2 linked regions of the Arabidopsis thaliana genome follow. The protein of the gene in region 1 interacts with the protein of each later gene in a pairwise test. Each region holds a gene or a part of one and is shown in the gene's direction. Other genes may lie near its edges.

The links.
Region 2: the proteins of PIP2B (region 1) and CHX9 interact in a protein complementation assay, tested with the Arabidopsis thaliana proteins (one large-scale study listed by BioGRID).

The regions. Positions count from the first base shown.
Region 1 is NC_003071.7:15,612,773-15,617,040, reverse strand, and holds PIP2B (plasma membrane intrinsic protein 2), read left to right. Parts: upstream 1-2,018; 5' UTR 2,019-2,120; coding exon 2,121-2,550; intron 2,551-2,671; coding exon 2,672-2,967; intron 2,968-3,058; coding exon 3,059-3,199; intron 3,200-3,297; coding exon 3,298-3,417; 3' UTR 3,418-3,673; downstream 3,674-4,268.
Region 2 is NC_003076.8:7,660,378-7,665,968, reverse strand, and holds CHX9 (cation/H+ exchanger 9), read left to right. Parts: upstream 1-2,139; coding exon 2,140-2,388; intron 2,389-2,493; coding exon 2,494-2,969; intron 2,970-3,267; coding exon 3,268-3,817; intron 3,818-3,914; coding exon 3,915-5,042; downstream 5,043-5,591. Other genes in the region: AT5G22920 (CHY-type/CTCHY-type/RING-type Zinc finger protein), read right to left, coding at 1-20, 98-175, 261-293, 379-438, 566-653, 750-826. UniProt on the Arabidopsis thaliana protein: May operate as a cation/H(+) antiporter.

The DNA.
Region 1 (4,268 bases):
CTGCCGTTTCAAGCACATTCTGGATCATTCGTGCATCTTTTTCATGATAGTTGGTAAACATATAGTATATATAGTAAGCGAATATTTGTATAGGAAAATGAAATGGTATTTTAGGTCATTTTGTATAATAAGTTAAATAACGCATAAATACGTAATTTATTTGAGACTTAACTTTTTCGGTGTAAGCTGAGTGTTAAATCTGTCATAGGACACTACAATCAAATTATAACTCTATATATACTCCATCGACTATATATTGACTCAACATATCATGATAGAATTACATATGAGTCAGATGTAATTTTATGATCTGTTATTGTGGATTCATTGTTAGCAAGCATATATATACGTGTGTTCAGAAGACTAAAAAATTTACTATGAAATGAAAGAACATTTATTTGTTTGGAACAAAAAATGTTTATCATAACAAATTAACCCATTTTTCCACAGAGAACAATACCATTCGTAACCAATATCGAGTAGACAATTCTTTAACAAAACAGAAAGCGACAAAGATGAAAGAAAACAAAAATAAAACCAGGGGAGAGACCGAGAGAGAGAGAGCACCTTTCTGACGTGGAAATATAATCCAATAAGAGCAGAGAAATGTCGCTACAACGATAAGGATATTGTGACGTGGCAAAACATTGGCCATGAACACCACATTACACCACATTCCTTTTGTCTATGTACACTTTTTATTTTTCCAATTTATTTTTGTAGACAGACTAGTGATTAGTGAATACTGAATAATATACGTAAGAAAATTGCAATTGGAAATTTGGAATTGAGGAGTGAGAGCAAATGATTGTTGAATATGGGGACTAAACAACGTGGCATAAGAGGAGTGGTTGGGACGGCTGAACTGGAGTTGGACTTAATCTGTATGGACGGTGCCGATGCAATTGACGGAGCTAATCAATTCTATATGGGGCGGTTTCTCCGGTCCAGTGGACCCAACTTTCATCATATTTTCTACTTTAGTGGAAACATAACCCGTGAAGCGACGCCGTTTCTTTTATCATGTCCATGTGATAAATTATGTTTTTGTTATATGGTAGGGTTAGCTGAGAGCTATCAAAAGACTCTTTTTTATCCACCTAATAGATTTGATTTGTAACGTTAAGAGCATAGGAAGTCAATTTAATCGTTACTAATTACATGCATAAGAACTAGTATAACTATATAAGGAGCTCCTTCTAGAAATTAAATGAAGGATGATAGAATCTAGATAATCAGAAATTTTACTATTGATCAATCTAGCTATCTCGTAGTTCAAAAAGCTTTATCGTTAACAAGTAACAACTTTCAAGTATTGCCCAAATAGATAAGGTTCATAACTTCATATTTTTTATTTATTTTATGTGTAAAAGAGTGACAGTCTATATTATTCTAGGGGGAGGACAAGGCTCATGACATAGGACAAGAGAAAGAAAAATATAGAAGCATATAGTATATTAGGGTCGGTCCAAATGAAAACAACGTTTAGGTATGGGGCGGCGAGGCTAAGTTAAATTAACCACAAAACTCCATTATCAACCATAATTTTAGAATTAAAAGGTCTCTGTTCCTATTGATAGCTCCACAATCATTCTTTTAAATAATCAGAATCTCAAATAAGTTCATCTTTAGTTACAGATTTGTATCAATAGTTGAAGTTGAAACCAAAATAATAATAATTTAGTTATAGTTAATTTTGTCAACAAAACAATACCTTAACTATCATATTATGACAAACACTAATTGAGATGAAAAACTCTTAGCAGTAGCTAATTCTTACTATCATCAGTTAATTATACTAATGTATATGGAAATTCTGCTTAAACAAAAAAAAAACAGTGGAACATGAATATATTAAGCAAAATCAGTTTCTATTGATTATGTAGCAATGATTAGATTGGTTTAGATTATATATCATCATGACAGCTAGCTAGGTAATTAATTAGTGAAAGAAAGTTTCCACAAAAATAATCATAATCGTCATACACACAATTCTATATTCATTTCATTGAAACGAATAATAAAAACAACCATAAGCCTACCAAAAGGAAAACATTATCGTAATATAATCAATCAATAACACGTATACAATTATTAACGTATATTGACAAGCAAAATTAATGAGAGCACTCACTATAGCTATAGTCTCTCTATATAAACAACTTTCATTCGTCTCTTCAGTCTTCACAAACACAACATATCCACAATACAAAACACAACTTTCATATATAACAAAAAAAGTTATAGAAATGGCCAAAGACGTGGAAGGACCTGAGGGATTTCAGACAAGAGACTACGAAGATCCGCCACCAACTCCGTTTTTCGATGCGGACGAGCTTACCAAGTGGTCTTTATACAGAGCCGTCATTGCCGAGTTCGTAGCCACTCTCCTCTTCTTGTACATCACCGTTTTAACTGTCATCGGTTACAAGATTCAGTCCGACACAAAAGCCGGTGGAGTTGACTGCGGCGGCGTCGGAATCCTTGGCATCGCGTGGGCTTTTGGTGGCATGATCTTCATCCTTGTCTACTGCACCGCCGGTATCTCAGGTATCATATATCGAAACCGGTCCGGTTTATTACCCGGTTCAGAAAATTTAACATTTGTGGACCTTTCAAATTTGTCCTTTGTTTTGTAATTTATTTGAAATTAACCCCAAGAACTTTGTAGGTGGTCACATAAACCCTGCGGTGACGTTTGGTTTGTTCTTAGCCCGGAAGGTATCGCTGATTAGGGCGGTGCTTTACATGGTGGCTCAGTGTTTGGGTGCTATTTGTGGAGTTGGTTTCGTCAAAGCCTTTCAAAGCTCTTACTATGATCGTTACGGTGGAGGAGCCAACTCTCTAGCAGACGGCTACAACACAGGCACCGGACTAGCCGCAGAGATCATTGGAACATTCGTTCTCGTCTACACAGTCTTCTCCGCTACTGATCCCAAACGTAACGCTAGAGACTCCCACGTTCCGGTTAGTATTTATTTCTATCAGTTATAAGATCGTTCTGGTAACATACGATAACATTAATTAATACTTAGTGTTATGAATTATGAAACGAAAGGTTTTGGCGCCACTTCCGATTGGGTTTGCGGTGTTTATGGTACATTTGGCCACTATTCCGATCACCGGAACCGGCATCAACCCGGCTAGGAGTTTCGGAGCTGCCGTAATCTATAACAAGAGCAAGCCATGGGATGACCACGTACGTTTCTATTTCTTAATTATTTAAAATTAATCAAATTATGGACTATTGTTTGATGGGAAAATAATGAACTGTTTTTTTGGTCTATCTAAATACAGTGGATATTCTGGGTGGGACCATTCATTGGAGCTGCGATAGCTGCATTTTATCACCAATTTGTCCTAAGGGCTTCAGGTTCCAAGTCACTTGGATCCTTCAGAAGTGCAGCCAACGTTTGAGTTTTTGCCACACAAAAAAAAACCTATCATAATAACAACAATTACAAAATGGTTGTGTTATTATGTATGTACAAAAATTGGCAACTTTGCTTGTAAAACTATGCACTATATTTCTTCTTGTTTTTCTGTTTTCATTGTGGTGTAATACTTTGATATGTGCCAATGCCAATGTTTGTGTACTCGGGAAAACAATTAATGAAAACCAAATTGTTTTGCCTTCTCCTCCCTCTTTTTATTTTATACAGATGATATTACCAGCTAAAAGCATATCTACATAGACTACATTAATAGTTATAATTTATAAGTTCATGTGATTTAAATTATCCTCCACTGAAGAGGATTAAGACAGAACAAAAACTTATGTGTTTGGCACTTTTTTGTCAGCTTGTCGCCATCACCTAATTAAACAACAACTAAAGCACAAGTCAATTGGTAAGATCGTCTCAAATTCAATTAATCTACACCAAAAACGAATTTTGTTGAACACTTAGTTTTGAGTTGACATTCCACTCACTAGTTTAAGCTCATAGAATTTGTAACGAGAGCTTACGCAGGAAAGCTGTTGGTTCAACAACTAATTTGCGTCACTTTACTTAAAGTATACAAACGTCATTTTCAGAAATAACAATATCAAGAAGAGCGTGAACAAAATATTAAAAACCTATAGATGGTCATACAGACAAAAACTTCGAAATTTCTTTAATCCAATGTAGATTATCCAAAAAATGTGCCTCAAGACCAAAATCAGGGTTTTACATAAATCGAAACAATAATAGGAAAACTTTAAAAATTTCGTAACAGTTTTGCAACTGCAAGAAAATACACTTTTGCGTCTTCTTCCGAAGCACCAA
Region 2 (5,591 bases), on another chromosome or scaffold:
TGATATTGCTTCTTGGAAAGCTGAAACAACCAATATTAAGTCTCATTACTACTAATTCCAGCTATAGAAAGAGCAATAACTCAATTACAAAACTTACATCATCGTCGAAGAACTTGCATTTTGAACAGAAGTACTTCCCCATACATACACCACAATTGGAGCAGTTTTGCTGAACCTGAAGAAAACAAATTACAGGTCTCTTCTACATCAATAAACATATTTACCAATAGAATTTGTATATCTAAAATGTAGATACTCACGTCTTGTTCTGTCTCACAAAGCGAGCATATGACCTGAAAAAAAGTAGACCAAAATTGTTATCACAATGAATAAACAGAATCAAAATGTTCATAAACCAGAATGTTCAAAGTTAAAAACCTTTGAAACTTCATGTCGAGGAAGCTCATGTCTATGATGCTGTTCAATATGAAGAGAATCCTGTTGAAACAAACAAAACACATTAACATCTATAACCAAAACTTGTTCTTCACAAAAACACACACACACACACAAGTTACAAAGACAGAGAAGTAAAAAGACTATTCCTTTAATATTAGTTTTCTACCTTAGCTTCGTTGTGGCAATGTCTGCAATCAAAAATCTCATCACAACATGGTGCTCTAATCTTGCATCGTCTTCTATAATGTGAACACCTAAACACACACACACAAGGATAATCAAATTCAAAAAAAAAAAAAAATGAAACTTTAGCTTCAAAACTCAAAAGAAACTCAAAAGATGTTATTTACCCGTAATGCCCAGATCCAATCTCCATTAGATTCGCAAATTCTTGATTTTGCTCATTTTCATGGAAACCCATATCCATACTTTACCTAAAGTTTTGATCTTTCTTACTTGGAATCAACACCAATCAGATATCAAAATTTGTTGAGAGTAACGAAAGAATAAAAGAAACGTAATTTGAAGAAATGTATTGACGACGTTTGGTAATCAGAAACAGAGGAAGTTGCAGAGATGAAAAAGCAATCATGTTGATGATATTTATTTATATGAAGATGAGTGATGACTCAGCAACACGCCAGATTTTTTATTTTGCCTAATCAACAAATCCCATACTCATTATTAAAAAGGTTTTAACGTTTTTGTTTTTTTTGCTAAATATAAATTTTCTTCTTAATAAACAGAAATATTTTTCCACTTGTTTATGGTTTACTCCTAATTGGAATTCATTAGCAGAATACATAATTTTAAATAATAAAAAATTACATAATAGTTAATTTTAAATAAAATACATAATAGTTAATTAGTCAGAGCCAAATTTCATCAACATTAATGAGAAAACTAGAGGTAAAAAAAATTGAAAATGAAAAGTGAAAAGAGATTCGTTGTCGGACTTTTGTTAAAAAAAATATCTTACTTGTAATTATGCATTAAAAAGAAAGTTATTTTTTTATATTCTATTAGAAAAAGTTTAATGTACTAAGTGAAAGTTAATAACATATGAAACACTCGGTTTAAGATTCAATTCAGTTGGCGACTTGGCGGGTCATTAAGAACAAATTTTTGTGGTGTGTGGGTCAATGTCAATATGTCATGTCTTGTTTTTAAAAAGCAGAAAACAGGATAGGATTGGATAATGGATATGTCCTCCAACTTGATGACTCAATTTTTTGGGTCCACTCTTTTATAAATTCTACTAAAACACACTATGGAATACTTTTTTTTTTTTTTGAAGTTTGATATTAGTAGTGTTAAAGTTGTGGGCTAAGTTCTTGAGTTAGATTAGTAGGTAGTGTCAACTCAATATTTGATCTTCAATGGGCTTAGATTGGGCTTATCTTTTGGGTTTGTTATAAAATAAGTATTTGGTAAAATGGGTTAGTTTCTTTTTCTTTTTTTGGTCAACCAAAATGGTCAAGTTTTAGGAAAGGATTAGAGTGCCTAAGTATCATCATTTATTTGTTGATAAGTTTGACCAAAACGTAACAAAATTATTTCGCAACCAAAAAGTACTAGTCAAAGGGGGGCGCCAACTATTTGATAAACAACAGCAACTGTTTTTTTTTTAAAACAAACCGTTACGTTGTTGAATATTTTGACGTTAAGAATAAATTATCAGCGAAAAAAAACGAAATCGATCTTTTACAAGTTTGACAAAAGCATATCTTCGTCATCATCATGACCGATTCTCAAGCACTAGTTCCTGGGCCTTCACCGCCTCATAGCAAAGCTGAAATTTGTTACGGAGCTACTTTTTTCAACATCTCTTCTTATGGAATCATGGAAAAATATGAAACTCCTACTGTTATCTTCGGATATGCATTGCCTCTCCTTGAGCTGCAGATCATTCTCATCTTCGTTTGCATCGTCTTATCTCATATGTTCCTCAGACGTATTGGCATACCACGGTTCGTCTCCAACATACTTGTAAGTTAAGAAAAACGTCCACAACTGTCAATTTCTTGTATCGCAAGTACCAAACGCTTGGTTTCTTGTACTGCAAGTAACAATTTTTTTTTTTTTTTGAACTAGGCTGGTTTGATTCTTGGACCTCAGCTGCTTGATCTTCTGGAGTATTCATCGGACCGATTATCGTTAGACATCCCCGGAAACGTAGCGTTGGAAGGTGTGGCCAGGCTTGGGTTGGTAATGTTCACGTTCTTAATGGGCGTGAAGACCAACAAGAGAGCGGTGTATCAAATCGGTAAACGTCCGATAGTAATCGCGGTTTCGTCCTTTTTCGTGACTATGATCAGCGGGTTAGCCTTCAGAAACTTCCGTCTCGACAAGGTCGACCCTCTTTATATGCCTCTGAGGCTAGCCCCAACAGAACGCTCCGTGATTGTATCGATTCAAGCAGTAACGCTGTTACCGGTCATAACCCACCTCGTATATGAGCTGAAGATGTCAAACTCCGAGCTCGGCCGCATCGCCATATCTACAGCCGCCGTCAGCGATTTCCTTGGATTTCTCACTCTAGTATGCATCTCCTACGTTGGAACATACAGGTATGTAAGACGTCGATTAATTTAGGAATCTAATTGGTGCATTTGCATACAAAACTACTTACCTCATTAAATATACTTTTGTAGTAATCAAAGTCTACAAATCCGGAGACCTAAAGCAATATATATAATGCTCTAAAACTGGTTAAAAGTTTGATCAACGAAAAGTTACCGTTTTATTGTCTATAAAGCAATACTAATTGTTATCTACACAATAGACGGCACCGGAGTGTTTGATTAGTAATGTATATCTACTATCTAACGAACATTATTTGCTATAATAGTTTGAAACGGTCTGCAGGTATGTATCGCCCGGAATAGCCAACCGCGACATAGTGGCATTGATCATCTTAGTCCTTGTGATCCTATTCATCTTCAAGCCAATGGCACAACGAATAGTGGACATGACCCCAGAAGGCAAGCCCGTACCGAAAGTCTACTTATACGTAACAATCCTGACCGCAATCGCCGCGAGTATATACTTAAGTGTTTTCAACCAAATGTACATTCTAGGAGCTTTATTGGTGGGGTTGGCAATCCCAGACGGTCCGCCTCTGGGATCTGCGTTAGAGGCAAGGTTCGAGAGCTTGGTTACAAACATATTTTTCCCTATTTCAATCGCGGTCATGGCGATGAAAGCTGACGTTGTAAGAGCATTGTATTCGTTCGATGACATTTCCTTTAACATACTTCTACTGGGTCTTACAGTGGTAGTGAAATGGACTGCCTCTTTTGTACCTTGCTTGATCTTCTGCGAGTTACCTACTAGAGAATCCGTTATCATCGCCACTATCATGAACTATAAGGGTTTTGTTGACTTATGCTTCTTCGATGTCGCCTTAAGAAGAAGGGTAAAATAATCTTCATCTAACCTACACTCTACATGTATATATATTGCATCATATGGTTTTGAATTAATGGTTGAATGTTTTTTGTTTTCTTTAACAGAATTTGTCGCGAGCAACGTACACGGTCATGATTATTTACGTGCTATTGAACGCGGGGATTTTGCCTACGATTATAAAAGCACTATATGATCCAAAGAGGAAGTATATTGGATATGTCAAGAGAGACATTATGCATCTTAAAACAAACTCAGATCTCAAGATTCTAACTTGTTTGCACAAGCCTGACAACATCTCAGGTGCGATCTCGCTACTTGAATTGCTTTCCTCGCCGCTAAACAACGATAACAAAGACAGAGGAGTCATTGCTGTCACGGCGTTACACCTAGTGAAACTCGCAGGACGTACGTTTCCCATCTTGATACCTCATGACAAGCGGTCTAAAGCGCGGTTGCTTCAAAACTCTTACATACAAACAATGATGCTCGCGTTCACCGAGTTTCAACAAGAGAATTGGGAATCTACCACTGTTAGTTCCTTCACAGCTTATTCTCATGAGAACCTAATGGATCAAGACATTTGCAATCTTGCTTTAGACCACCTCACATCGATGATCATTGTCCCTTCGGGACGAAAATGGTCACCCGATGGAGAATATGAATCAGACGATATTATGATCAGACGTGTTAATGAATCTCTCCTTGACCTCGCTCCATGTTCTGTCGGCATACTTAACTACCGAGGATATAATAAAGGTAAGAAAAAGACCAACAGTATCATTAACGTTGGTGTGATCTTCATTGGTGGTAAAGATGATCGTGAGGCGCTTTCCCTTGCGAAATGGATGGGACAGAACTCGAGAGTGTGTCTTACTGTTATCAGATTTTTGTCTGGTCAAGAACTAGATAAGTCCAAGAATTGGGATTACCTTGTTGACGACGAGGTCTTGAATGATTTGAAAGCGACATATTCATTGGCCAACAATTTTAACTATATGGAGAAGGTAGTCAACGGTGGACCTGCGGTGGCCACCACCGTTAGATTGGTGGCGGAAGACCATGATTTGATGATTGTAGGAAGAGATCACGAAGATTATTCGCTGGACTTAACAGGGTTGGCACAGTGGATGGAGCTTCCGGAGTTAGGAGTCATCGGAGATTTGCTTGCATCCAAAGATTTAAGAGCTAGGGTTTCTGTTTTAGTAGTTCAACAACAACAACAACATGGATGAGTGTAACATATGTCAGTGAATGATCTCAAAAAAAAAAATTGAATTATACTCGCATCATGGGTAAATGTTAGAATTTACATTTGACGTGGAAATAGATTTAATATAATTGATCTAAACAACATTGGTTAATCCATTCATTACCAAATTGTTTTTGAGTAAGAAACTCATGCATATATTGTTCCTAAAATAGTATATATCAAATCAATAATCCGGTATTTTTGAGAGATGAGTTGTTCTGCTCTAACATAGTATACAAAGATGAGTTTGACGCAGTTGGAATACATTGATAAGCCAGTTAATTATTGATTTATCTAAATTTAGTGTTCATTAAAATTGTATTTTAAATGTATGCAAATAATCCATTTCGTACTACTTAGCACAGTTAATTTGCACAGAATTATTCCAAATATCTAAATCTTGGCGCTTTGTTGAAGCAAACACTACTGCTAAAAAATTAAAAAATTAAAAAAATAATAATAATAATAATAAATAAATAACAAAATTGAAAATTTCACCTGAGCTTTAATGAAAAAAAATACGAGTAATGTG